Linked DNA regions of Tamandua tetradactyla. The protein of the gene in region 3 purifies or fractionates together with the protein of the main gene of each other region. This does not show direct contact. Links are inferred from orthologs where the notes say so. Each region holds a gene or a part of one and is shown on either strand. Other genes may lie near its edges. The genes, in order: PRKAR1A, PRKAR2B and AKAP11.

Evidence for each region.
Region 1: the proteins of AKAP11 (region 3) and PRKAR1A purify together in Homo sapiens (affinity purification with mass spectrometry; 3 studies listed by BioGRID and IntAct, counting the BioPlex papers as one, with this or other methods). This does not show direct contact. The link is inferred for Tamandua tetradactyla from reciprocal best matches to the Homo sapiens genes AKAP11 and PRKAR1A.
Region 2: the proteins of AKAP11 (region 3) and PRKAR2B purify together in Homo sapiens (affinity purification with mass spectrometry; 3 studies listed by BioGRID and IntAct, counting the BioPlex papers as one, with this or other methods). This does not show direct contact. The link is inferred for Tamandua tetradactyla from reciprocal best matches to the Homo sapiens genes AKAP11 and PRKAR2B.

What each region holds. Positions count from the first base shown.
Region 1 is NC_135332.1:9,211,306-9,219,675, forward strand, and holds the start of PRKAR1A (cAMP-dependent protein kinase type I-alpha regulatory subunit), read left to right. Parts: upstream 1-5,096; 5' UTR 5,097-5,264; intron 5,265-5,513; exon of another isoform or gene 5,514-5,670; intron 5,671-8,370. UniProt on the Homo sapiens protein: Regulatory subunit of the cAMP-dependent protein kinases involved in cAMP signaling in cells.
Region 2 is NC_135327.1:145,801,747-145,809,608, forward strand, and holds the start of PRKAR2B (cAMP-dependent protein kinase type II-beta regulatory subunit), read left to right. Parts: upstream 1-4,857; 5' UTR 4,858-4,889; coding exon 4,890-5,196; intron 5,197-7,862. UniProt on the Homo sapiens protein: Regulatory subunit of the cAMP-dependent protein kinases involved in cAMP signaling in cells. Type II regulatory chains mediate membrane association by binding to anchoring proteins, including the MAP2 kinase.
Region 3 is NC_135330.1:116,862,731-116,870,579, reverse strand, and holds the start of AKAP11 (A-kinase anchor protein 11), read left to right. Parts: upstream 1-4,582; 5' UTR 4,583-4,972; intron 4,973-5,308; exon of another isoform or gene 5,309-5,421; intron 5,422-5,494; exon of another isoform or gene 5,495-5,513; intron 5,514-7,849. UniProt on the Homo sapiens protein: Binds to type II regulatory subunits of protein kinase A and anchors/targets them.

The DNA.
Region 1 (8,370 bases), on a different chromosome or scaffold from region 3:
CTCTTTCTTGAGTTTCCCACTAGCCAGAAAACACACAGCTCTGCATGGATGTCCCACAGACCCTCAAACTCAACGCATCCCCCATTTCACCCACCCTCACTGCACCGCCTGTTCTCTGAATTGGTAAATGGCAGCAGCAATGATTCATTGCCTGAGTCAGAACCTCAGTGTCATCTTTGAGTCCCTTCTCTCCCTCATCATCCTCATCGATCACAAGCTCCAGTCACCTGTGCTGAAATTTTTTTAGTTTAAGCCACCACCATCTCTCACTTGGACCATCGCAACAACCTTCTCACAAGTCTCCTTGCATGGAAGGATATTTTCTTTAAAATTCCGTGCTGTCTTGTGAAACCATTGCCCTCCCCCCTACATGGAGCATGACATCCAGGAATGAAAGTCTCCCTGGCGGCATGGGAGATGACTCCCAGGGATGAGTCTGGCTCTGGCATTGTGGGATCAACAAGGCCATCCTGATCAAAAGAGGGAAAAGAAGTGTAACAAATAAGGTATCAGTGGCTGAGAGAGTTTAAATAGAGTGGAGAGGCTACACTGGAGGTCACTTTTATGCAAGCTTCAGTTAGACATTGCTACCTATCATAATTTGCCAACCCCCAACGAAAACCATTCCTACCAAGCCTAAAGAATACCTAGGACATTATATAAGATTCTACAAAAGTTCCATGCACTAGGTTAACTTTCCAGAAACCTACAACCTCCAGATGGGTCCTGAAATGCAGAGGGCTAGCCTTTTCAGAACATCAACTAGTTCCATCCCCCATCCCATATTATTGACAGAATAATAACCTTCCAACACGGAAAAGTTAGAATGGGCATAGCCCAAACACTCCTAGAGAGAGGGAGAAAGATCAAAGGTGACAAGTGGAGTTATACAGACAAGGTAGGGTTTAACAAATGAGTATGAGTGCAGAATCATTATATTGCTATTTCTTTCAGCCTTCAGTACCTTAGAGCAGCTAGAAATAAAACCCTAAAATTGTAGAATTGTAATCCAAACCAAACTCTGAAATCTGTTCTACAACTAATTGTTATGATGTACTTTGAAATTGATTGTTTTTTTTTGGAATATATGCTATTTTTCACAAAAACAGAAAGAAAAAAAAGAGGAGGATTATAACAGAGAAGATAGGATTTAACAAATAAGCATGACTGCTGAATCATTACCTTGATATTTCTTTTGGTCTCCAGTGTCTTGGAGCCGCTAGAAGAAAAAATGAAAAAACCGTGGAACTGTAACCCATAGCAAAGTTTGAAATTGGTTCTATAACTACCTGTTAAAATGTGCTTGGAAATTTATTACTTTATCGTATATATGCTATATTTCACACACACAAAAAAAATTAAAAAAAACAACAACACCCCGTGCTGTCTGTTGCTCATTCAGTTCCTCTTCCTGAAATACCAGCCAGGTATGATGGGTACCACTGGGTCCTGGGTTGGGCAGCATGCCTTGGCCCTATAAGTCCTTTCAGTGCACACCTCTAGCTCCCCCTCCACACCCCCATAGTAGGACTCCCTCTATTGAAAGTACCTGTGTCCGTAGTGGCCCCCCAAGACCGTGAGCTTTTGTGTGTGGGGCCTGGTTCATTCACCTCTGTGTCCCTGACACCTAGTACCTAACATATGGATCCTCAGGAACTTCATTTTTTAAAGGGATTCTGAGTCCATGCACGGATGGGCTTTAGGATCTGTGAACCCCCTGATGTGCATTTGCATATTTTCTGGGGGGAAAGCCCATTGTTTTCATGAGCTTCCTCAAGGTGACCAAGTCCAAAAAAATATTAAGACTTCCCGGAAGAGATAAAGGTGTGCGGTCATTGAAGTGCTGAGAGTGGTAAATTAACAAGATTGTTCACTTTGTCAGTTTGACAGAGATAAATACATTTCTTTCTCTTGGTCAATGTGCCTACCATTCATGGTAAACCTCAAAAGGTTTGAATGGGTGATAGGCCCATCACTATATATATTTATATATTTATTTTTTACATGGGCAGGCACCGGGAATCAAACCCGAGTCTCCAGCATGGCAGGCAGGAGCTCTGCCACTGAGCCACCGTTGCCCCCATCACTATATATTTTAAAGCTTCAAATCTGTGACCTACTAACAAGCCGTTAACATTGGTTAAACAGCATAAGCATAGGAGGTCGGTATCCAGAGGAAGAACATGTCAGCATAGATTCATACAAATATCTGAACTTGACTTCATTCACTCTCCTTTGAACACTGCGGATTTCATCGTCTATCTTGGGATGAAGGTAATTTTGCTTGGAGCACTCTTCAGTGTCAGACTGAAGATCGTCATCCTTCTGGTTTCTTCGTTAATATTTTCAATTAGTCCTCAAGATAAACTACTCCTACTCAGTCTAGAGAACCATATACCATTGAGAAAAGTAAGAAGACTCTGGGCCTTTGATGGTTTGCTGGAAATGGTTTACGTATGATGTCACAACTTTGGGTCCCCTGGGATGATTGACAACTCAGCACCAGCACATACCACAGAAGGGCAGGCACAATGAAAGGCTCTCTGTGGAATCTGAAATACGTGGCTCTATTCTGAGCCCACAGAAACTTTAGGCACAAGAAACACTACGAGATGAGCCACCAAAGTGTTCCTTTTATCTTTTTGTTCTCTTCATTCTGCTTCTGCTTACTAAATGTACCACTGATGTTTATTTTCCTTAGATCTTTTTTTCTATTGTTGCACAAACATCATAACAGCAATTAGAGAACTTGAACAGAGAAAAATTTACTTACAATCTCACTGCCCTAAAAACTTATGTTTGGAACTCTTCTAGGACCCAGGCCAAAGGAAAGGCCAACAGACCTTCGCATTTTGGTCAGAAGGCCTCTGGAGGAGGGAACCATACAGAAACAACAGTGGAATAATTGTAATTTCTGAAGTGTAATTTACAAGTTGGTATTCTCGAAAAGGCATAGAAAGGCCATTCACACCTTTTGGAACCCACTGAGGCAGTTTGGTGTTTCAGAACAGCTGTCTCGGTGAGCTTCCCCATGCTCAGTACCTACTGCCGTTTCCCTTTTTGTCTTTTAAAGCCCCGGCATATGAGGGTTTGGCAGCTGGAACAAAGCTGAACTGGACTGACACATGGAAGCTGCCTGTGGCTGGACAGGTGCCTAAACGCAGCTGAATAGAGACACACATCCAGGCCTTAGCAAGGGAGCAGCTGCCACTCAAAGCCCGCCCCCCACCCCCCATGTCATGAACTTGCTTCTTTTCCTTATTCTGTTTGACTGCCTCGGGAAGGAACATGAGTGGTGGGACACAGTACAACTCAGTCTCAACCTTGGGGTTTGGGTACTTCTCTAGGATTGGGGGAGGACGAAGTGGGAAGTAAACTAACATTTATTTAATGCACCTCACACTTGTGTGAGGCAATTTATTTACCTACATACTGCAAAGGGGGCAATTAAGATCACTGCCTGGGCTTGGGCCATGCTACCAGTGTGAACTTGAGCAAAGTCATTTAACTTCTCCATGGCTCCTGTTCATTCCCTAATGATAATTCCTACATCATAGTGTAATTATGAGGATTAAATGAATTATGTGTAATAATAGCACTTAGGCTGTGCCTAGAACTTGCTGAGGGCTATAGCTATGTTTGCCGTTATTATCTTCTTTAGTTCATTTTACTTTAGTCCTGCGTTTCCTTTTACAACTGAGGAAACTGAGGCTCATGGAGATTAAATCAATTACCGGAGATGGCAGAGCCTGAGATGAAACTCAGATTTATATAAGCGCAATGTTTTCTTCCGAGGACACAACTGGGCCTGCTCAGGGCTTTGGAATTCCCTCTCCTGCTTGCCAGCCTAAGGTTCAGTTTGTCAGCCTCCTCTTCGTACTGACAAGGCGGAAATCCGTTCTGATGGAGGCTGTGCCTTTAATGCCCCATTCCACCAGCGCCCATTTGGTTAAAGCAGTGCCTGGGAAAAGGCCAAAGGTCAACATAGGGGAGGTCAACCGCCCGGCCCTGGGCCCTTTTCAAATTACATTTGCTCCCCCTGGACGTCAGCAAGTAGGGTAACCTTAACTAAATAAAACACTCTGGGCAGCTGGACCCTTCCCTAGGTCTGATGGATTTAGGGGCAGTTGGTGTCCTAGGACTGTTCTATGGAGCAGAAATATACCACCAGACACATACATAATTAAATATTTCTAACACCTACTATTAAAAAAATAAATGACAAAGGTGAAATTATTCTGATATTTAACCTAATATATCCCAAATATTATCATTTCAACCTGTAATCAATGTAGAAATGGACATATTTTACATCGTTATTTTTTATGACGTGTTAAATCCGGTGTGTATTTTATGCATAGGGCTCTAAAGCACAGCAGACCCCCACCAGACACTTGGATACAGGTCCTCAAAGAGCCTTTATTCACACTAGCGACTTGATATATCTAAAACGATCTCCTCTCCCCCATTTTCTTCCACCATGGGCAGGTATTCTGATGGCAAGAAATGGCTGAAGGAGGAAAGAAGTCGCTTTTTGCCTGAATCCCCACCCATTAGTGTAGTGTTTGCGGGCAGCAGAGATTTCTTGCGTGCTCACCGAGCATATGTGACAATCTGCACGGTTATGTCTCACCGTGTGCGGGCTGGCACGATAATGGGGGGGGAAGCATTTCAGATTCTAGAAGGTTCTTGGACCCTGACAAAGTCCTCTCCTGTGCCCGTGTCCATAGGGACGATGTGGCCTCCACTGACGACAGCACTTGAGAAGGGGACAGCAGCCCAACAGCCAAGCAGGGAGCTGGCACGGCTCAGATTTCCTGGACCGGATGGCGCGCCGGACCCCGGAGCCCCGCGCGGCGCTGGCCGGGCACAGGATGCACGACTCAGCGTGCGCATCCCAGGCATCCGCCCGCGCTCGGCCCGCGGCGCAGCTGCTGCGGATCCTCCGGGGCCGCGGCCTCCCCCGGCGCCTGGAAATGGCAGGAATCTCCCCGCCCCTGGCCCCGCGCCCCCCCCCCCCCCCCGCGAGCAGGGGCCGCGGGGCGGAGTCGCCCATCTGTCGTCCGAGACGCCCTACGTGGGTCGGTGGGGGGTTGCAGGGAGGGAGACAAGGGAGAGACGTCGAGGGAGGCAGGAGGGAGAGAGTGGGGAGCAGAGGAGGAGAGCGGAGACGAAGGGAGAGGGAACCTCAAGGAAGCCACGCGGAGAGGGAGCGAAAGCAAAAGAAAGAATAAAGGCGACCTGAGACGTCCAGAGAGGGACAGGTAAGGGAGGGCAGGTGAACAGGAAGGAGGGGAAACTGGAATAGTGAGAGTGGGTAAGAGGGAGAGACGGGATTGAGGAAGGGCTGCAGATAAGAGATGCAAAGAAGTGGAGCAGAAGGACACCGATTCCAGGGTGAGGAGGGGCGAGCGTCCTTCAAGGAGGGGGGCAGGGGGTAGAACCCTGGCGCTGCGCCTTTAAGGTTGCCAAGGCGACGGCTCTGGCCAGAGCGAGGCGCATTGACGTCAGCAGTCAAGCGCTGATTGGCTGAGGCCCGGTAGTTTCCGGTGGCGCTGCAGCGGAGGCGCTGTCGCTGAGCGGAGCTCGGCAGGGAGGGAAACGTTGAGGAAGCTCGGCGCGCCTCAGCCTCGCATCCTTAGCTCCGTAGTCGCTGCCACTAGGCCTCAGGTGAGTGGGGTCGGTCGGGAGCTCCGGCGCAGCGAGCCTTGCCGTCCTTTCGCCCGTTTGGGAGCGCGGGACCGATCCAAGATGGCGTCTCGGGGAGCGACCTGCTGGGGGACGGCCGCACCCCCTGCTTCTCCCAGGCCCGGCAGGCGCCTCCCCGGAGACCCTGCGCCCCAGGCCGCCCCCCCCCCGGCTCCCATTCTGCATCCCCCGAGGCCCCCAGGCCGCCGGGGCGTTGGCTCGGTTGCTGGGCTCCCCTCCCGCCCCGCCCGCGCGTCCCCCGCCCCCCTCCGTCTCCGCAGCGCCTGGGTCCCGCAGCCCCCGCAGCCCCCGCCATCCACCGCCTTCCTCGGCTCTGGACGCTCCAGTGTCCTCCGCCTCCGCGCACCGCGGCGTCCTTGCTAGCCTTCCCCCATTTCCTGACGGTCAGCGGCTCGATTTTACCGGAATTCGCCATCGTCGTTCCCCCGCCCTCCCATTATGGCTGATATTGAGACTCGTCAACTCTTTTCTTGCCTTCTGTGTCTCCTTCCATCTTTTCCAGCATTCGCTTTCCCTTTCTTTCTCAGGATTAGCCTCCACCCATCCCCACCCCCATGATGAGATGTGATCATAGCCTGGCTTATAAATTTCCTTTTGTCCTCCACCACTTCCCTTTCCCGATTTTTTTCCCTGAGACCTCCTCGACACCCCGACTAAAGAAGGAAGAGAGGTGGGCCTCCCTTCTTCGTTTTGTGGTCATCATGGTGACATAAGTGAAGCGAAGGGCACATTTCTGTCCTTCCCTTTGAAAATACGCGATAGCCATTAACCCCTCCAGCTCGGTGTCTGTGTGGTGCCACAAGAGATAGAGCCGTTCAGCAGAGGAAGGAAAGCGAACGCTTCCTCAAGATGACCCCAAGAAAATGTGTAAGGGAGTGCGGTCTGAGTCAGGAACAGTTTCTCAGAATATTTTAAATATTTCCTGGCATGTAATTGTTTTTGTAACCGAATTTTATCGCAACTGAATTTCCAGAAGAAAGAGCTGAGTGTGTCCTTATGTGTAAAAGCATAGTGCGTGTTTTAAAGTAGTTAAGTAATTTGCCGGAGTTTCTAAGTTATTGGGGTCGTAAAGATAAGTATACGTACAGAGTTAATGTAGGTATATTCCGTTAAAAATATTAAGATCATAATGTTTGGGTATTCAGAGATTCACATGTTGGCTGTATTAATCTTGAGACATTTTCAGTCATATTCTTTTTTACCAGTATTGTCTTGAAATACCTTACCTTGTTTTAAACAGAAAGAAACGCTTTTACCTCTTGGACCCAGTTCTGTCATCTCTAGCAGCCAAAGACCTGATCTTTGAAAAATAATCTCTCTGATCAGTTGAATAGATGTATTGATATTTCTAAAATATGTCAGACTGTTTTGAAGCATAAAAGATCTGATTAATGGTTGTTCTAAGGTGGCCTTCAATATTGTTTGAAATACCGAAAATCATGCTGAAGTGGATTCTCAGTTCATGTGATTGACCTGGAAAAGTGGCTGGTATAAATCTACCCAAAAATAAATAAACATTTTTTTTTAGAATTGTTTCTGAAGTAGCAGCATCATTCTTTTTCTGTGGCCTCTAATTTATGGGTTTGTTATGGAGCCACAAATTTTCTCATGGTTTGTTTATCAATCTACTTGTTATTGACCTTTATCATGAAAGTTGTTAAAACAAATTGAGTAATTCTTACTCTAGAATTCCTTTCTCCTTTAACATTTATAGTTGTATATCACTAGTTTTTCAATTATAATTGGAAAAATCTGATTAGTATTGAATTCAGTTGTAGAATAGAAGGAACCATCTTCTAATCTTAATTGCTTAGTAATTAGAAGTTAGGAGAAGGAGTTTATGACCCTGCTGTTAAATTACTAAGCTTTTAATTCCATGGTAAGCTGTTCATTATTTTACTTTATTTTACATCAAGGTGGTTCAAATTCTCTGAACTCTATTTTATTAAATGTTTATGTAAGTTTCACATTTACACAAACATTTCAGATGAAGAAAATGTTTTGACATTTTCCTAAGTTTTTTACAATTTACTTGGTACAGGTTTTTTTTTTTTTTTTTTCTTTTTTTGGCTACTAAGGATTTTCCTTCTTTTTCACTGGGTAAGTGTGTTATCATTATGGCTGGGGTTTGGTAAAAGATCCTAGAATAAAAGGTTGCTTTAAAGACTCACCTAGGGTTCATTTTGTGCCTTTAAAAATTTTGATTACTCTGGTGGTTGGCTAATCAGATCCTTTGCTCCAGTGGTTTGCTGTGTGACATTAGGACACTCCCATGGGATAGGAGTGGTGTATAGGGATTGTCAGATGTTCTTCATTTTACTTACTTGCTTTCACTTAGAGCAGACTTGTGTGCCCTTATAACTCTCTCTCCTGTTTACCATTTACACACTTCCTACGTCATGATGATTTCTTTTGCAGGGGAGAACTGAATGAAATTCCCTTAAGAGTCTGACTTCTCAGCAGCCTGCCTCTGCAGAGGATAGTGGCTCATACTTTCTCTCAGGAGTTGAGGTTATTGCATTTTGCTGTTGATGTTTCAGAACCTGAATTTTGCAGCAGGAACCAAATGAAACTCCTTTTGGAAGACTACTATATTTATCTACATATTTGATTCTCTAGTCTTCACTTCCCCCTTAAAAGCATATAAATTTAGTGGAAGAA
Region 2 (7,862 bases), on a different chromosome or scaffold from region 3:
ATATAGAGCAGCTGATTCTTCAGTATGATTATAAGCTCTTCCTTGGGAGTTTACTTTAGTTGTTCTCAAAGAGTGGTTCCCAGACTACCACCAGCAGCAGCATCTGAGAATTTGGTATAAATACAAATACTATGGCCCCACTTCAGATATAAAGAATCTAAAACTCTGAGAGTGGGGCCTGGAAATCCATATTTCAACAAGTCTGCTAGGTGATTCTGATGCACACTAAATTTGGGGATTTTCTAGAGACAACCCTTCACAAAGCTGCATTTAGAGATTAAAAATTTTACTTAGTGTTAGGCCAAATGTCTAAAAGATTTTCAGACTATGAATTGACCATCTTTTAGTAGATATGTTACATGGTGCCTGAACCATCCATAGACTCCACGTTTGGGTCTTTTCTCTTTGCTGAAGAGGCAGATCTTGTTCTGTACTACCTAATCACTAAAGGGGATTTATTAAATTACAAGTTTACAGTTCTAAGGCCATAAAAAATCCAAATTAAGGCAGCCAGTGACCAGATGGAAAGAGTCTGGGTCTCTGACAATCATGAAGCCACTATACCAGCCCTGATATGCCTACATTTACATTGCAGAGAAATAAACTTCTATCTTGTTTGAGCCACTGTATTTGCATTTTCTGCCATCTACAGACAACGTTAATCGTAATTGAAACTAGTATGATCATAAAAAAAGAGAGGTGATACAAATTAATCTTAGATAACAGGATCTCTAAAGATAATAATGCATAAATGATGGAGATCTTGACTCTGAAGAAAGGGCCGGATGGCGTTTGGATTTCCTCTGTCACATGGCTGGCATCTGCTGGTCCTTTCTTAGCTTGACTGAGAAAACTCTGGATTTCTTTTCTTAGCTTTCCTTGGCTCTTTCCTTGGCTCTTTCCTGGTTCTGGTTTTTTAGTACCATGGTCCTTGCTTAACATCTCATGGGAAGGTACATGGCAATGTCTGCTGGGCTCTGAATCTCCAAACATCTGTGTCTGTGTCAGCTCTGAACTATTTCTGTGTGAGCTCTTTTAAGGACTCCAGTAAATTAATTAAGACCCACCTTGAATGGGTGGAGTCACATCTCCACCTAATCAAAGGATCACACCCACAATCTGGTGTGTCACATTTCCATGAAAGTAATTTCATCAAATGGTCACACCCTACAATATTGAATCAGGATTGGAAGAATAAGGTTTTTCTGGGGTTACATAACAGTTTCAAACCAGCACAATGGCTAAAAGTATATAAAACTGAACTGATGGCCATAGTGGCCCTGTGCCAGCACAAACCAATATCCTTTCAATTTTCTACCTTTGTGTGTGTGTGTAACCTTGAGCGGGTATATATATATATATATTTCTTGTACCAAAGAGACTTGATCAGGATACATATGAACAACTGATAGGAAACACTGTATGAGTGATTGGTCATAGTTATTACCAGCCATTGTTAAGGCTGCACAAACCAACAGCTTGTCCATGTATATAGATTTGTTTTGGCAACTTCATGTTGCCAAAGACAAGTTGATATCTCTGTCCGGTATCTGCTTAATTTCCCATGTGTGAAAACAAATTTGGTAGTACTCTTATTTCATCCCAACTCTGAGCCCTTGGAGTTCTCTAGCAATGCTTCCAGTGTGATTCTCTGAGAAACTAGTGCAAATTGCTTTGTAAGTCAACAAACAAGGAATCGGTATCATTGATGTTCTTTTAAAGAATTCATGAAGAATAGTCCTCATAAACCACTGTCATTGTACCTCAAGGTTCAAAAGGAAATGTTTTGAAAACAAAAGTAAAAGAAATCATACAATAGCACTGAAAAGGTTATGTGGTAGTGAATAAATCCAGAATATAATTTGAAAAGAAAATGTCGGCTCCAAGAATAATATTAACATAATGGGAATATCGGGATCAAGATTTATTTCTTCAGGTCATGGTTATTGATTTGAGAATTTACACAAATAAATTGTTAGAGAAGTATTTGCAAAGATGTTTAAATCCAACATGTTTTCTTTTAACATTACACTATTGTAGAATATCCCAGACTGGGCGAGGGCATTATTGGTCATCTAATCCAATTATATATTTCATGCTCGAGTCACTGGTATAATACTAAGGAAATGAGAGTCATACAAACCCTGGCATTGTGGTTGATGGCTGAGAGCCATTTACCATTGCTCATATATTTAGTTAACAAAAGGAATAAAATTCATTTTGAAACACAAAATGAAGGATACAGCTTTAAAATATGGCTCTGGTAAATGTTTGGAAAAGCAATGTTTTTTCTTCTGTCATTTATGGTGGAAAAGGTGTTTAAATTTGTGATGGAGATTGAAAATTTTCCCTAGATTTGGTTCTCCTTTATACTCATATATTTACTGGGAACATGACCACTCAAAATGAATATTACATTCCCAAACTTTCCTTAGAGTCATGTGTCTCAGCTACTATTGCCATATAACAAATTACCCCTAAATTTAGAGGCTTACAACAACCTTCTTTTTTTTTTTTTTTAATGCTTATGGATTTTGTGGGTCAGAATTTTGGACAGGATACTGCTGGGCTTGCTGCTTCTATCATGTTGGCATGACTTCTATCATGCTTTACTGACTGAAGCAGTTAGAAACCTATCCAAATTCAAGAGGAAGGGAATTAGACTTAAACTTCTGATGGAGGAATGGCAAGGTTGCATTGTAGAAGAGCACATGGGACAGGAGATATTGTCACAGTCATCTTTGGAAAATTTTGCAATTTACCACACCAGAGGTGTAACCATGTGACTAAGTTCCAGCCAAAAGGATACAAGGAATTGGTGTGTTTAATTTCTGGGAAAAGTCTTTAAAATGTGCGGGTGTATGTGTGTGGGGGGGGCTTTGCAATGGGAAGGTTCCCTTCTCTCTTCCACTTTCCTCTTGGCTGAAATATGAAGATGATTGGAATTGGAGAAGCTATTTTGGACCACAAAGTAGAAGCCACAAATAGGATTACACAGCAATGAGTTGGAAAGAGTCTGGGTCTCTGACAATTATAAAGCCACCATATCAGCCCTGATATGCTTACATTTCCATTACAGAGAAATAAACTTCTATCTTGTTTGAACCACCGTATTTACATTTTCTGCCATCTACACACAATGCTAATCTTAACTGAAACATGTATGATCATAAATGAAGAGAGATGATGCAAATTAATCTTAGATAACTGGATCTGTAAAGATGATAATGCTTATATGATGGAGATTTTGACCAATGTACTCAAAGCAGTGAGATGTAAATATCATGATATTTAATAAAAGCTTATTATCTTCAAACGCCTGGCACTTATAATTAGAGGCATTTACTACGGTTTAAAATAACATATTATTATGAGGTTAATAAGAAATGGGAATGGAGAAATACATTTCCTGAAGGAGTGACTATAAGTTGAATCATAAACAAAGAGTTAATATGAAGATGCATTTTTATAAAAAGGACTAGTTTGTTCATCTTGTTTTCTACTTTTTTAGTTTTCTGAGTCATGTATTTACTCTTTTATGTGGGTGAATACATAAACCAGAATGGGTACTTGAGCTCATTTTTGAGCTATTTTATTTACAATAAAATATTGTTTTTGAGCTATTTTATTTACAATTTTTATAGTGGTCACTATAAAAAATGAAGTATATGCATTTGAATAGCTTTTAAACAGCAAAAGATACTTCTAATTAAAAATTTCAGTCAGGGACTTCTACTTTTCAAGCATATTTACTTGTAGCTATTTCTCTTTATATTGAAGTATTCCTATTTCTGGAGATAAAATTCAAAATCACTCAAAGCAAAAGGGAAAGTCTTAAAATAAATTTTAAATGAGAGCCTAATCAGGCAATGCTTTTTTGCTTTAGGACCATCTGTCCTGTTTATGACATTTTATTCAAATTGCTATACTATTCTGTATAAAGAATATCAACTAACTTTGATAAGTGCATCACAAAAAATGATGCATTTGTCTCAATAAATAGTAGCAAACACACTGCGTGCACAATGGAATAAAATCAGCAAAGCTAAAAAAAAGGTAGACGATGACCAGCGAAAGTTTGGATAAAATGTGGCGAAAGAAAAAGATGAATATTATATTTCTGTCTAAAATAGAACCAGCACTACTATGTGAATTTAAACAAAAGATATTACCAAGATTTATCAATACAACTAAATTATAGGAGAAAAAAAAAATGCCACTACCGAGCTGAAGGCTGAAGTTTCAGGGTAAATCGCTTGTCAGCAGGTCCGGTTGGGTTCACTCGTGAATGACGTGTGGGAATGCTGGCGCGTGAACTGCCCCCTCCGGGGTGTGGACAGGTGGAAGGTGTGACTCGCAGGAGGACCCGGAGCAGTGTTGAGTGGGGACCCCGCACCGGGCACGTTTGCCGCAGAGCGCCACCCGCCCGCCCGGGCCCCGATAGCGCCCTCGACCCTGAGGCTATCCGAGGGACTGGAGCGCGGCGCTCGCCCGCGGTGGTTGCCATGGTTTCTGGAATCACGTGGGCGCGCGTTTTGTTTCCCCCTCCCGCGCGCCTCTGCGAAGCGGGGGCGGGGCGGCTCCGGCTGGGAGAGGAGCGGCGGCGGCGGGAGCGGGAGGAGCCGGAGATGCTGCCAGCCCTCGGCGGGCTTTGCTCGCTCAGCCGCCGCCGCCACCGCCGCACCGAGCTGTTGTAGCCGCGGACCAGGCCAGCCCTGCCGCCGGGGTCCTGTGCGCTGCGCGTAGCTGGTAGCGCAGCTAGCACCCTCCGCGCGCTCTCGGCGGCCGCGGGGCCCAAGGTCCTACTCGGGAGAAGGCGAGGGCGGCGGCCGCCCCCGTTGGGCAGCCCGGGGACGCGGCGCCCAGGCGCCCGCCGCCCCGGAGGCAGGATGAGCATCGAGATCCCGGCGGGGCTGACGGAGCTGCTCCAGGGCTTCACGGTGGAGGTGCTGAGGCACCAACCCGCGGACCTGCTGGAGTTCGCGCTGCAGCACTTCACGCGCCTGCAGCAGGAAAACGAGCGGAAAAGCGCCGCACGCTTCAGCCATGAGGGCAGGATCTGGGGAGACGCGGGTGCCGCCGGGGGCGGCACCCCCAGCAAGGGAGTCAACTTCGCGGAGGAACCCGTGCACACCGACTCCGAAAACGGGGAGGAGAACGACGAGGAGGAGGCCACGGACGCAGGAGCATTCAGTGGTGAGGACGGGATCCCCTCCACGACCCCCGAGTTCCTTCACCTCCTGTACCGTTCTTCGCTTTACTCCTTAATCCTGCAGCTTTCTTCACCTACCTCTCCCTGCATTCTCCACCTGCGCTACCTTCTCATCTCGCCCACCCGCTACCTTCTCATCTCGCCCACCCCCTCAGTATCCATTTCTGTCTCTCCCATTCGCCCACCTTCCTACCCTACTCTCTTGTCATGCTCTACCTTTCTTTTCCTCCTCTGAAGGTGAAGGAGCTGAAAGGTTACGGTTCCCAATGACCATCTGCCCCCTCTCATCCAGAGCAACAGCTGCAGAGATGGGCCGGTTTGGTGTGGGCATCTCATGGGAAGACAGTTTTCTTTGTGGCTGAGGATATTTCGCTTGACGGATAGATTGTGCATAGAGCAAACTGGTTGGCCCCCTTGGTATTCTTTTTCAGTGCTGATATTTCTTAATGGAGCGTCCAAAGAGAAAAGGCGGGGGGTGTTAAATTTGATTGGTTTTACCGTGTTAGACGTAGAATCACTAAAAGAAACATGAAATGGGACTCCATGGGGCAGAACAAAATTTATGGTAATAACTTTGACATTCTTGGAAACAAAGTAATCTGTTATTTTTGGACATACAACAAAGGAACCTGCTTAGCCTGCAATCCATCAGGTCTTTGGCATGAGGAAACGGGCTAATGTTCTGTTTTTTTATTTAAAACACATATTGAACGATTTGGTGCTTTTGAAAAAAATTAATTTTTAAGTACATAAAAAATAGTGAATGGAATTCTGAAGCCTTGTTAGTTGTCTTTAAAATTAAAAGCTAGTGAATAATTGTAAGCACTATGCCAGACACTGAAGCTAAAAAGAATGAATGGGAAATAAGGAATTTTCTCAAATAGCTGCTCCTTTAAGTCCCACCCCTTCTGTTACACCCTACACCCACCCCGGAACACGCAGAAACACACATAGACACACACACATCCTCCTTTATTAATGCATGACTAAATCCCACCTTTTTTGGCATTCTCAAACTACAACACTATGGTGTGTAAATGTGCAAGTGTTTTTCTCTTTGTGGTTGTAAGGCAAACATGCAGGCTTTTATTTATTTATTTGGCTTGTGGTTTGTTGCAGAGCATTTCATATAATAAAAGCATTTAAGGTGTCATTTCATCTCCTTTTGTATGTTCTTAGGAATATGCTTCTTTTCTTTGCAGAAGCACGTGTTGAAATGGCCTTTAAAAATATATTTTTTGCTTGTCTAAAACATTCACACAAACCCTGAAAATTAGTGCTCTATGAGGAATAAAGTCAGGTAGTTACTTTTAGATTTTAATTTTATGTATTTTAGTATTTCCCCAGATAGGGTAATCTTAGTCTTAATTGTTCTTTTTGCATAAGAAATTAGCAAATGCTTTTTTTTTCCCACTAGAAACAAGAGAAAGATAACAGAAAATGTATTTTAAAGAGATGGAAAGAAGCCAATAATGGTTGATAAAAGGGAGAGGAGCCTGATACTTATCTCCTGACACACCCACACATGCATGTGCATCTATACACACACATACACACAGGGGAAAAAACTAGTTTACCAGATTGGAGGGATCTAGGAACTGAGTGAATCAGTAAAAAACCTCTGTACGTTTAATATGATATGTTGTTTGTATGACTAATAATATTTTGTTTGTTGTTTTTGGAGGGTTTTGCATTGATGATTCTATTTTTTTCTTACAATAATGGATATTGTACACAGAACAAGTTCTATTTCTGTGTGCAGGTGAAGAAATAAGCTGTTGACTTTAAAGCAGCAGAGATCATTGTATATGTGTTTATATTCTCCAAGTTACCTTTACTGTAAAAATTACTCAATTTGAGTTTTAATAGATATTTGTTGACCCACTGCACTCTTTATTCCCTAGTCTCTGCTCCCCTGGGAATTTAAAACTTTTTTTATTTCAACCAAATTCAGTTTGATCATAATCCACTGCACGTATCAGTGTACGTATAAATGCATAACTGAACTCTGACAACAGTACCTCCCTCTGCTAAGTGTAGTACTTTCTAATATTATCTATTCTGATCAGTTCTCTCCTTCTAAACAGTCAATTATGTTGAGACCCACAGTTTAAAAAAATAATAATAGGCTACAAAGGGGTTGGCAAAGTTTTTTCTAAAGAGCCAGATAGTAAATATTTTAGACTTTGTGGGTCTGTGGCTTCAGTCGCTTATTCTTCTTTGTGTCGAGGCCATAGTTTGCCTGGTCAAACCCTGGTCAAAGGGGGAAAAAAGTCAAAATGGTTCCACAGGGGAAAAAGATAGAAATGACCCTAGAATTTATAAGTCTGTCAATTTAAAGTCTTTACCTAGAAAGACCAAAACACTAAAAACACCAGTTATACTGTATAATTCTCCTGGCATAGCAAAGAACAAGAACTGGAAGCACACAAGATCTGCTTTATCAATAATTTTTCAATTTTAAGTATGCATACTTGAGGAAGTTAGATTCTGAAGTGAGTATTCACTGGCACCATTCTTAGAGAGCTTTTTAAAATAGGTTAGGGTGGACCATTGAATTTATTTTTTTAACACATTCCTGGTCATTTTGATATAGGTAGTTTCTTGACCATACTTTGAGAAGCATTGGAAGATCAACATATAGTGATAA
Region 3 (7,849 bases):
CTTAAAAAGACAATCAAACAAACTCTTCTTTAAGGGTGGAAATTGTATTTTTTTTTACCACTTCAATCTTATATTTCCATTTTATTTCTCCCTACAGAATTTTATCCTAACAGAATTTATACTTGAAGCTTTTTTATTGATCACCCCATTATAAAAAAATAGATATAAAAATAAGTTAAAGTAAAAAGACTTTTTAATTTTCTATCAGTGGAAGGCTCTAACATGCTAGAATCACCTTCTGGATTGTTAACCCTACACCTACTATTAGAATACTGGCGCACAAAACAACATCAATATGGTATAAAGTCTGATAATTATTAAGTATAACAAATTTTATTGAAAGTACTTTTCTTATGAGAAGGAAGTGGCTTTCAAAAAATTAGTTCATTTATCCACAGATGAGTATTATTGATTACCATGAGATAGACTCCAACATCAATTCTATTTCTATTCTCCACTCCATACATATAAATTCTGACAAACCATTAACACTTAAGTAAATAGAAAGAATGGAAGTTTCTTACAGCAATCTCACACAATTTTTTGAACTCCTTCCCAGTTAGATGCCAAAAGTACAAAGTAATTGTTCACTAAAAATTAATTATTTTTAGTGGTCTATTTGGAGGAAACTCAATTAGAGTCTCCTTCAATTTCATTAAAAGCCAGTAATTGGAAACCTCTTGACTTGCAAAGACTATTACTTATAGCTGGTATTCTTTCACTTAGAACATCCTTGGTTAATGTGACATACTCAGAAAAGATTGGAGAAATAGTAATACTGTTAATTTTAACACACCTTTGCCTATATAATACATTCTGATAAAAGCATATTTTTTTGAGAAGGAGAACGTTTTACCCATACCTTGACAGATATCGGTCTGAGGACATGCAGAGGCAGGCATGATAGTAGTAGTGAGTTAATATGACTTCATAATGTTCTGAAGACTAGGGATAACTGGATGTCATGAGACTCCATCCCATCTTCATGTTTTCATTCATCAATTCATTCACTCATTTATTCAATGAATAGTTTCTGAGCATCTACTACTTGCCAGGCACTGCTAAGCAAAACAGTTGTGGTCCCTACTCACAGATCCTACAGTCTAGTGGAGGAGGGAGACAGGCATTAGCTAAATAATCTCACAAATAAAAATCATTATAAATTGTGATCATACTTTGAAGAAAAAGTAGGAAGTCTAGATAAGGGGGAAGTTTACTTAATCTGGGGAGTTAGGACAAGAGTTCCCGAGGAAAGGAAAGTAGATTGAAAGTTAAATATTCTTGGATGTTCACAGGCTAATGGGGATGGACAGAGAAAGGACATTCCATACAGTCTGAATAGCTTGTGAGAAGGCTCTGAGGCAGGGAGGGGCTGGCCAAGTTTTGAGGAGCTGAAAGGAGAGTCTGAGGAGCAGAAGGATATGAGAGGAAAAGACAATGTTAGGTAGATCACAAGAACCATAACAAGCCATCAGAAGATTTTAAGCAGGGGAGTGCTACGGTCAGGTGTGAGTTGCTTGAGAAGAAATGCCAACTCTCTGAGGATAATACGTACATACTTCAAACAACAGGAAAAAATGACAAAGTCTAGGAGCAAAGTTATGTCTTAGGAAAAGAAATATGGATTTTTGTGAACTGACTAAATGTAATGTCTTGTATTTTTAAAAATGTTTTTATTGACAACATACACAAACATTCTTAACACACAAACATTCCATATATGGTGTACAATCAATGGCTCACAATATCATCACACAGTAGTATATTCATCACCATGATCAGTTCTTAGAACATTTGCATCACTACAGAAAAAGGAACAAAAAGAAAAAAGAAAACTCATACATACCATACCCCCTACCCCTCCCTCACACTGATCACTAGTATTTCCATCTACTCAATATATTCTAACTTTTTGTTCCCCCTATTATCCGTTTTTTTATTCATATTTTTAATTCATCTGTCCATACCCTAGACAGAGGGAATATCAGATGCAAGGTTTTCACAATCACACAATGTCTTGTATTTTTAAGGGATTAAAAAGAATAAGCAACACCTGCATAAACTTGTACTACAAATGTTCATAGCATTGTTTTTCATTTTAGCCAAAAAGTGGAAACAACCCAAATGCCCATTAACTGATAAAGATAATAAAATGTGGTTTATCAATACAAAAGAATTTTATTGGAGAATAAAAAGGAATACAGACACATGCTACAACATGGATGACCCTTGAAAACATTATACTAAGTGAAAGACATAAAAGACGATATAATGCATGATGCCATTTATATGAAATGTATAGAATAGGCAAATTTATGGAGCCATAAAGTAGACTAGTGGTTGCTTAAGCCTGGGAGTGGTTGAGGGATTGACTGCTAATAGGTACCAGGTTTCTTTTAGGCTGGACAAACGGTTCTAAAGTTAGATTGTGGTGATGGTTGCACACTTCTGAATATACTAGAGAACATTTAATTGCACACTTTAAATGGGTAAATTGTAAGGTATGTGAATTCTATCTCAATAAAGCTTTTTTTTTTAAAGAAAATTTTAAAAGCAACTGGAGCTAGGGACATCCGTAGAAATGAGTCTCATTTCTTCATATTCTCTTGACTCCAAAGAACTGTAGAAGGAGAGAACACCATGACTGTCCTGCTGGACTGAGTTGGGGGAATTTATGCCTCTTACTTGAATGGTAGAGTTGAACTCCACTGATCATCTAAATTAACAATACTAAGCAGCTGTTTCAGTTAATCATTAATGAGGGCTCTAAAAGAGACTCAAAAAAAAAGTGCCTGATTAGCATTTCAAAAGAATGGTCTTAATTTGTTGAAATACTTTTTTCTTTCTTTCTTGTTTTTTTTTGTTTTATCATTCTCCCTTTTAAAAAATGACCTGTTTCTTGATTTCTTGCTCTCATTAAAATTGATATTGTCTCCGATTTTTTTGACATTTATTTTCCATTTACTTCTTTAAACTCTGATTAGGAACATGTGAATGATAATTCATAAAATAATACTTAGGTTTAAAATAGCTACAGAGAAAGGGAATATGAGGTTGAGCAGGTGGCAATGCTTACGTTTTCACACTCTGAGGTGGCCAAGGTTTCTTAGGGAAGTATTCCTGGTATCTGTATTAATCAGTTTCATAATTCCTCAGCTGGTGTGCGTGTGTCTAGTTTCATTTGGCTTGTGCTGCTGGCTCTGTTAGATTTTTATAAAAATTCATTGCACTTTCCTTTCCAGCTTCCGTCCTACTGGTGTGTACTTGCCAAAGTGTAACCAAGGCTTCACCCTGCTGCCGGTAGGCCAGTTAGAGTGCCTTGTTTTATGCATGAGGAAGCTGAGACTCAGGGAAGATAAGATCCTCTGATTTAGTTGCGTCACTAGTTAATGACAGGGCATGGAGTTGGAACTCAAATATTCAGATTCCTGTTTCTTGTAGTTGCACACTCTTGATTTTCCAACCTTCAACCTCAAACTTTTAAAATCATACACTTAGGAACAAGTACCTACATAGAACATCACTTTATGTTCCTGTATCTTAGAATTGACCTGTGCGGGAATCTGCGCGGAGGGAAAAAAATCAGGGTAAAAAATGGCTTTTTTTTTTTTTTTTGGTTGCTACTTGTTGCAAGTAATAATAAAAAAAAGTCCCCACTTTTTCTCCTTTTTTAAATACCAATAAGTCATGCTTTATCAATGCGTTTTAAACAAAAGTTAGGAAATAACACCAGGACTTCTAATCTGAAGGTTTGTAAAAGAGGAATGTCAAGGTCATTGGAAATTAAGATTGTCACCAGTGGCTGTCACCCAGACTACAAATCTTCGAATTGATCTCCCTGCATTCTGCTCTGGGCGCCTTAAGATCCATTCTCTGCTAGAAAGAGCTTCTGAAAAAATGTAAACCCTACTTAAAACTCAAAAATGCTTTCCATTCTTTCTTGACCTACAAAGCCCTACAGGATCTGCCTCATGTTTACCCCTCCAAGCTCATTTCCTCTTTCTCATTTTTTCCTCCTCAAACCTACTAGAACAAGTCCCAATTTAGAGGCTTTGAAAGCTCTTTTCTTGCGTGAAATATCCTTCCCTTTGATTTTTGCATGACTATGATTCAAACTGTTTAACTATCTCCTCCTCAGAAGGGTCGTCCCTATTGTAGCCATCCAATCAGTCACCATCACATCGCCTACTGTAATTTCTTCTCATAGCAATTGACACCGACAGATAATTTTTCTATCTTTTTTCTCCCCTTCAGATACGCGTCCTAGAAATTAGGTTATTACAATACGTCATCATCGTTGCTCAATCGACAGCCTAGAGTCGTGCCTAGATATTTAGGAGCGCCACACAAACAGGGCAGAACATGAACCATAGTGAGGATACGTTTAAAAATATATTTCTCATCCGTCAGGTAATTCCACCCTTGAGGAATAGGTGCCCTAGTCAGGTGCAACCTGACTGAACCGGTCCTTCCATTGTAAGCATTCCGGCTGTTTAAAGCGTATCAGCTTTCCTCTAGGGCCGGGCTTCTCCGTGGCCAAACGCCTTTCGTTCCGCTTTCGTGACCACGTAAAGGAGAAAAGGAGAGCACTAGGGCCCGGTGATCCCTGGATGCTAACTCCTTCGGCTAGGATAGGCCAAGGGCCCGGTGCGCCCTCAGTGGTCCTCCCTAGAGATGCTGGGGAGAAGGGGCGGGGCTACCCTGAAAGGATGGGCCCTTCCTTGGACCGTCAGATCTGGTAGGACTGTCGATTTTGGCAAACCCCGGAGCGTCACAAGAAAGCAAAGTTGACGTTGAGGCTAAGAAGATGCCCCGCTGGCCTAGGGGGTGAGATTAAGGGGTCGAAGGAAAAGACACTAGGCCGAAAAACGAACCTGCGGAGAAGAGCCGAGGCCGAGGCTTTTTGCAAGAGCAAAGGGTTAAACCGTTTCCAAGCCAACGGACTAGGAAGCACGCGAGACGTCCGCCGCAGGTTCGTAGGTCAGCCTCGAGTTTAAAGCTCCCACGGCTGAGCGGGCTTCGGCCAATGAGAGGCCGTCTCCATATCACGTGACTGGCAGGGCCGGTCCGGTGGTTAGCTTCGAGCACGTGGGAAGCGTTCTCCCTGTTGCTTCTTTCCTTTATCGAGAGCCCACCCACTTTTGCGCGGGCTTGGCCACGGTGTTCTTCTCGCGAGAGGCGTGCATTCACGCGAGAGTGGGTGGGAGGCGTGGGCCGTAGGCAGTGCTGCGGTCAGGCGCGGCTGCAGCGGAAACCCAGGGGGTGGGCTGGGCTGGGCTGAGCGGGGGCGGGCCGCTGGGTGGGGAGGGGGAAGGCTGGGAGCCGGTGCGGGAGGGGGCTCCCTCTTGCTCGCCCCATTCGCGCGGCTGGTCGTTGCAGGCCGGTGACATGCTTGTGAGCTGCGGAGGCTGCGGCCCCCAGGTGAGCCGGGAGCGGACCGCCCGCGGCGCAGGCGGCAGGTTGAGGGGGTAACGGCTGTCTTTGGGGTCGGAGTGGATGGAGCCGCTTTGCCGGTGCGTGTTCCGGTTCGGACCCGCTGGAGAGCTGCGTCTTCTCACGGCGGTGGGAGGAGGGCGGTGGGAGCGAGGCGGAGGGAGGACGCCAGAGGCACGCGGCTGTGTGGGGGACCCTGGCGTTCGGGCCGTGGCCGTGGGGCTGCTGTCCCTTTGAATGACAGATTCAGTTTCCATCCCCGGCGTGTTTGTCAGAGTCGGGGCTTCTCTGTGAGTACCGGTGCGTGTGTTTTGTTTGTGTCGTGTGCATTCACGAGGAGCGTATGCACGAGAAGGACATTGCACTTTGTCCCCAGTCAGCGCATCCTTCACTGTCAGAAGCCCTGCGCTCTGGAACCAGGCACAGCCCAAATCTTATGACTGAAACGGAAGGCGTCAAGTAGCTCATCAGAGTACTGACGTTTGGATTTGCTTTAAAATTCTCTCATGCCGTTAGTGGCCTAAATGTAGGCCATCCAGTATTGTGAATGGGCTGTGTATACTTGTATTCCAGGCATCTAAGCTGCCTTCTTTCTCTCTTTCTCTATGTGTAGATATATATATATATATATGCATATAAATACATATATATATATTTGTAGATATAACCAAACTGAAAAAAAAGCTCAAACATTGGCAAAAGGACAAATGACAGTAAAGTCTAAACTCCACAGTGATAGAACTTGTTAGTAATTCTTTTCCTCTCCTCTTAAGCCTTATTAGATTGAGGTGGTTTATCTTGAAATATTGAGGAATTTCAAGATGACAAATATTGCTGAGATGCATATTTAATGGCCTCAGTGCAAAACAAACTTCACATTTCTGATTCTCTTTCTGCTTTTGTAATTATTTGGTCAGTACCTTGCAGAGCACCTAAGTTGTCCCTAGCTTCTCCCCACCTTTATTTTGATATGTCTGAAAATATTCGGAAAATATTGGCTGCTCAGTAATACAGAGAAGATTTTGTTGTAATACCTTGTTTATAATTTTTGAGTAAATGCCCAGCACTTACTGGTGTCAGTTAAAATAGTGCAATTTAATGAATCTTTTTTATTACACAGTCATGCTCATTCAAGCAGTTATTTGTTATTCATGTATTTCTTGAGGCAAAATGTGACCCCAGGGATGACACTGAATTTCATGATTGGTTGTAACTGTAATAGGGTAGTTTTTGAGAGATCAGAGTGTGTAAGAGATTTAGGAAAGAAGTGGATACTTAAGTGGAGTTGGTAACTCACATCTGGTGAATATACTCTGAGTTGGTAACTAGTGACTGGTGCATATATTCGTGTATATCCCCATTGAACTGCACTATTGATGAGAGCCTGCCTAGGGTTATATTCCTAGGACAGTGATATTTCCAAGTTGTTCAGGATATAGGAGTTGCCAAAACCAGAGTGAGAAATTCTCTAGCTTCTGAACTCCCGGAGGAAGTCTAGAAACTAAAGTATTCCCTTGCCTTCAGAGGCTGGAAAAAGCGTAATGCTTCAAAAAAAATTTTTTTTTAAGTTTTAGGAATTACTATCTAGGTAAGGAAATCAAACTAATTCAAATGGTACATTATAGGTAATTCTAAAGGAAATTTCCACTTATAAGTGGGCAGAAGACTTCTCCCGAAACTTGGCCAAACATGAAAAACTTAGGAAATTTGCGAATGGGCAAAAGTACTCAATCTAGATTAGAAAAAGTTCCCTCCCATTCCACCATTGCAGACTGATTCCAGAGTTAGAAAAATAGAAGCTTTGCTGTTCTTTATCTTTTGGTTTCAAACTTTTAGAATGTAGATACTTGTTATTTTGTCTTTCTTTGAAAAGTGTGAGGTAACTTTGGGGAGAGTAGGTTGGTAAGCTGGTTAATTTTTTTCTGTGGAGTGGACTGCATTTTGGTAATAAAGTAAAACACTGGGAGAGAATGGGGGGTAAGGACAGCTGAGGAAAAGATCTGTTTAGCCTGCGCTTAAGTGAAGGGTGTATAAACTGATATGTGGGGAAGAGGAAGGAAAATACATTATCAATTTAAATATAGACTCGGCAGATCCGAATGTCTTCATTCTTCCATTCATCCTTATATATAAAAGTTCATTTTATTTTTAAATATTTACTGGTGTAAAGGCAGTTTTATACAAAGTTAACATTTTTTGATTAGTCTGGGAATGATGCATGGGAAAAAGAAGAAAAATGTTGTCGTGACTTAGGATAGAGATGATGTTCCTTGTGTGAAAATGAGTTTAAGTGTGAAATTTTTGTTTGGGCTCATACAGATTAGTTAATTACCATAACTGTGCTTCATTTTCCTCATCCCTGAAATGATAGTTGTCACACCCACTTCAAAATGTTATTGTGGGGAAAAAAATGTTA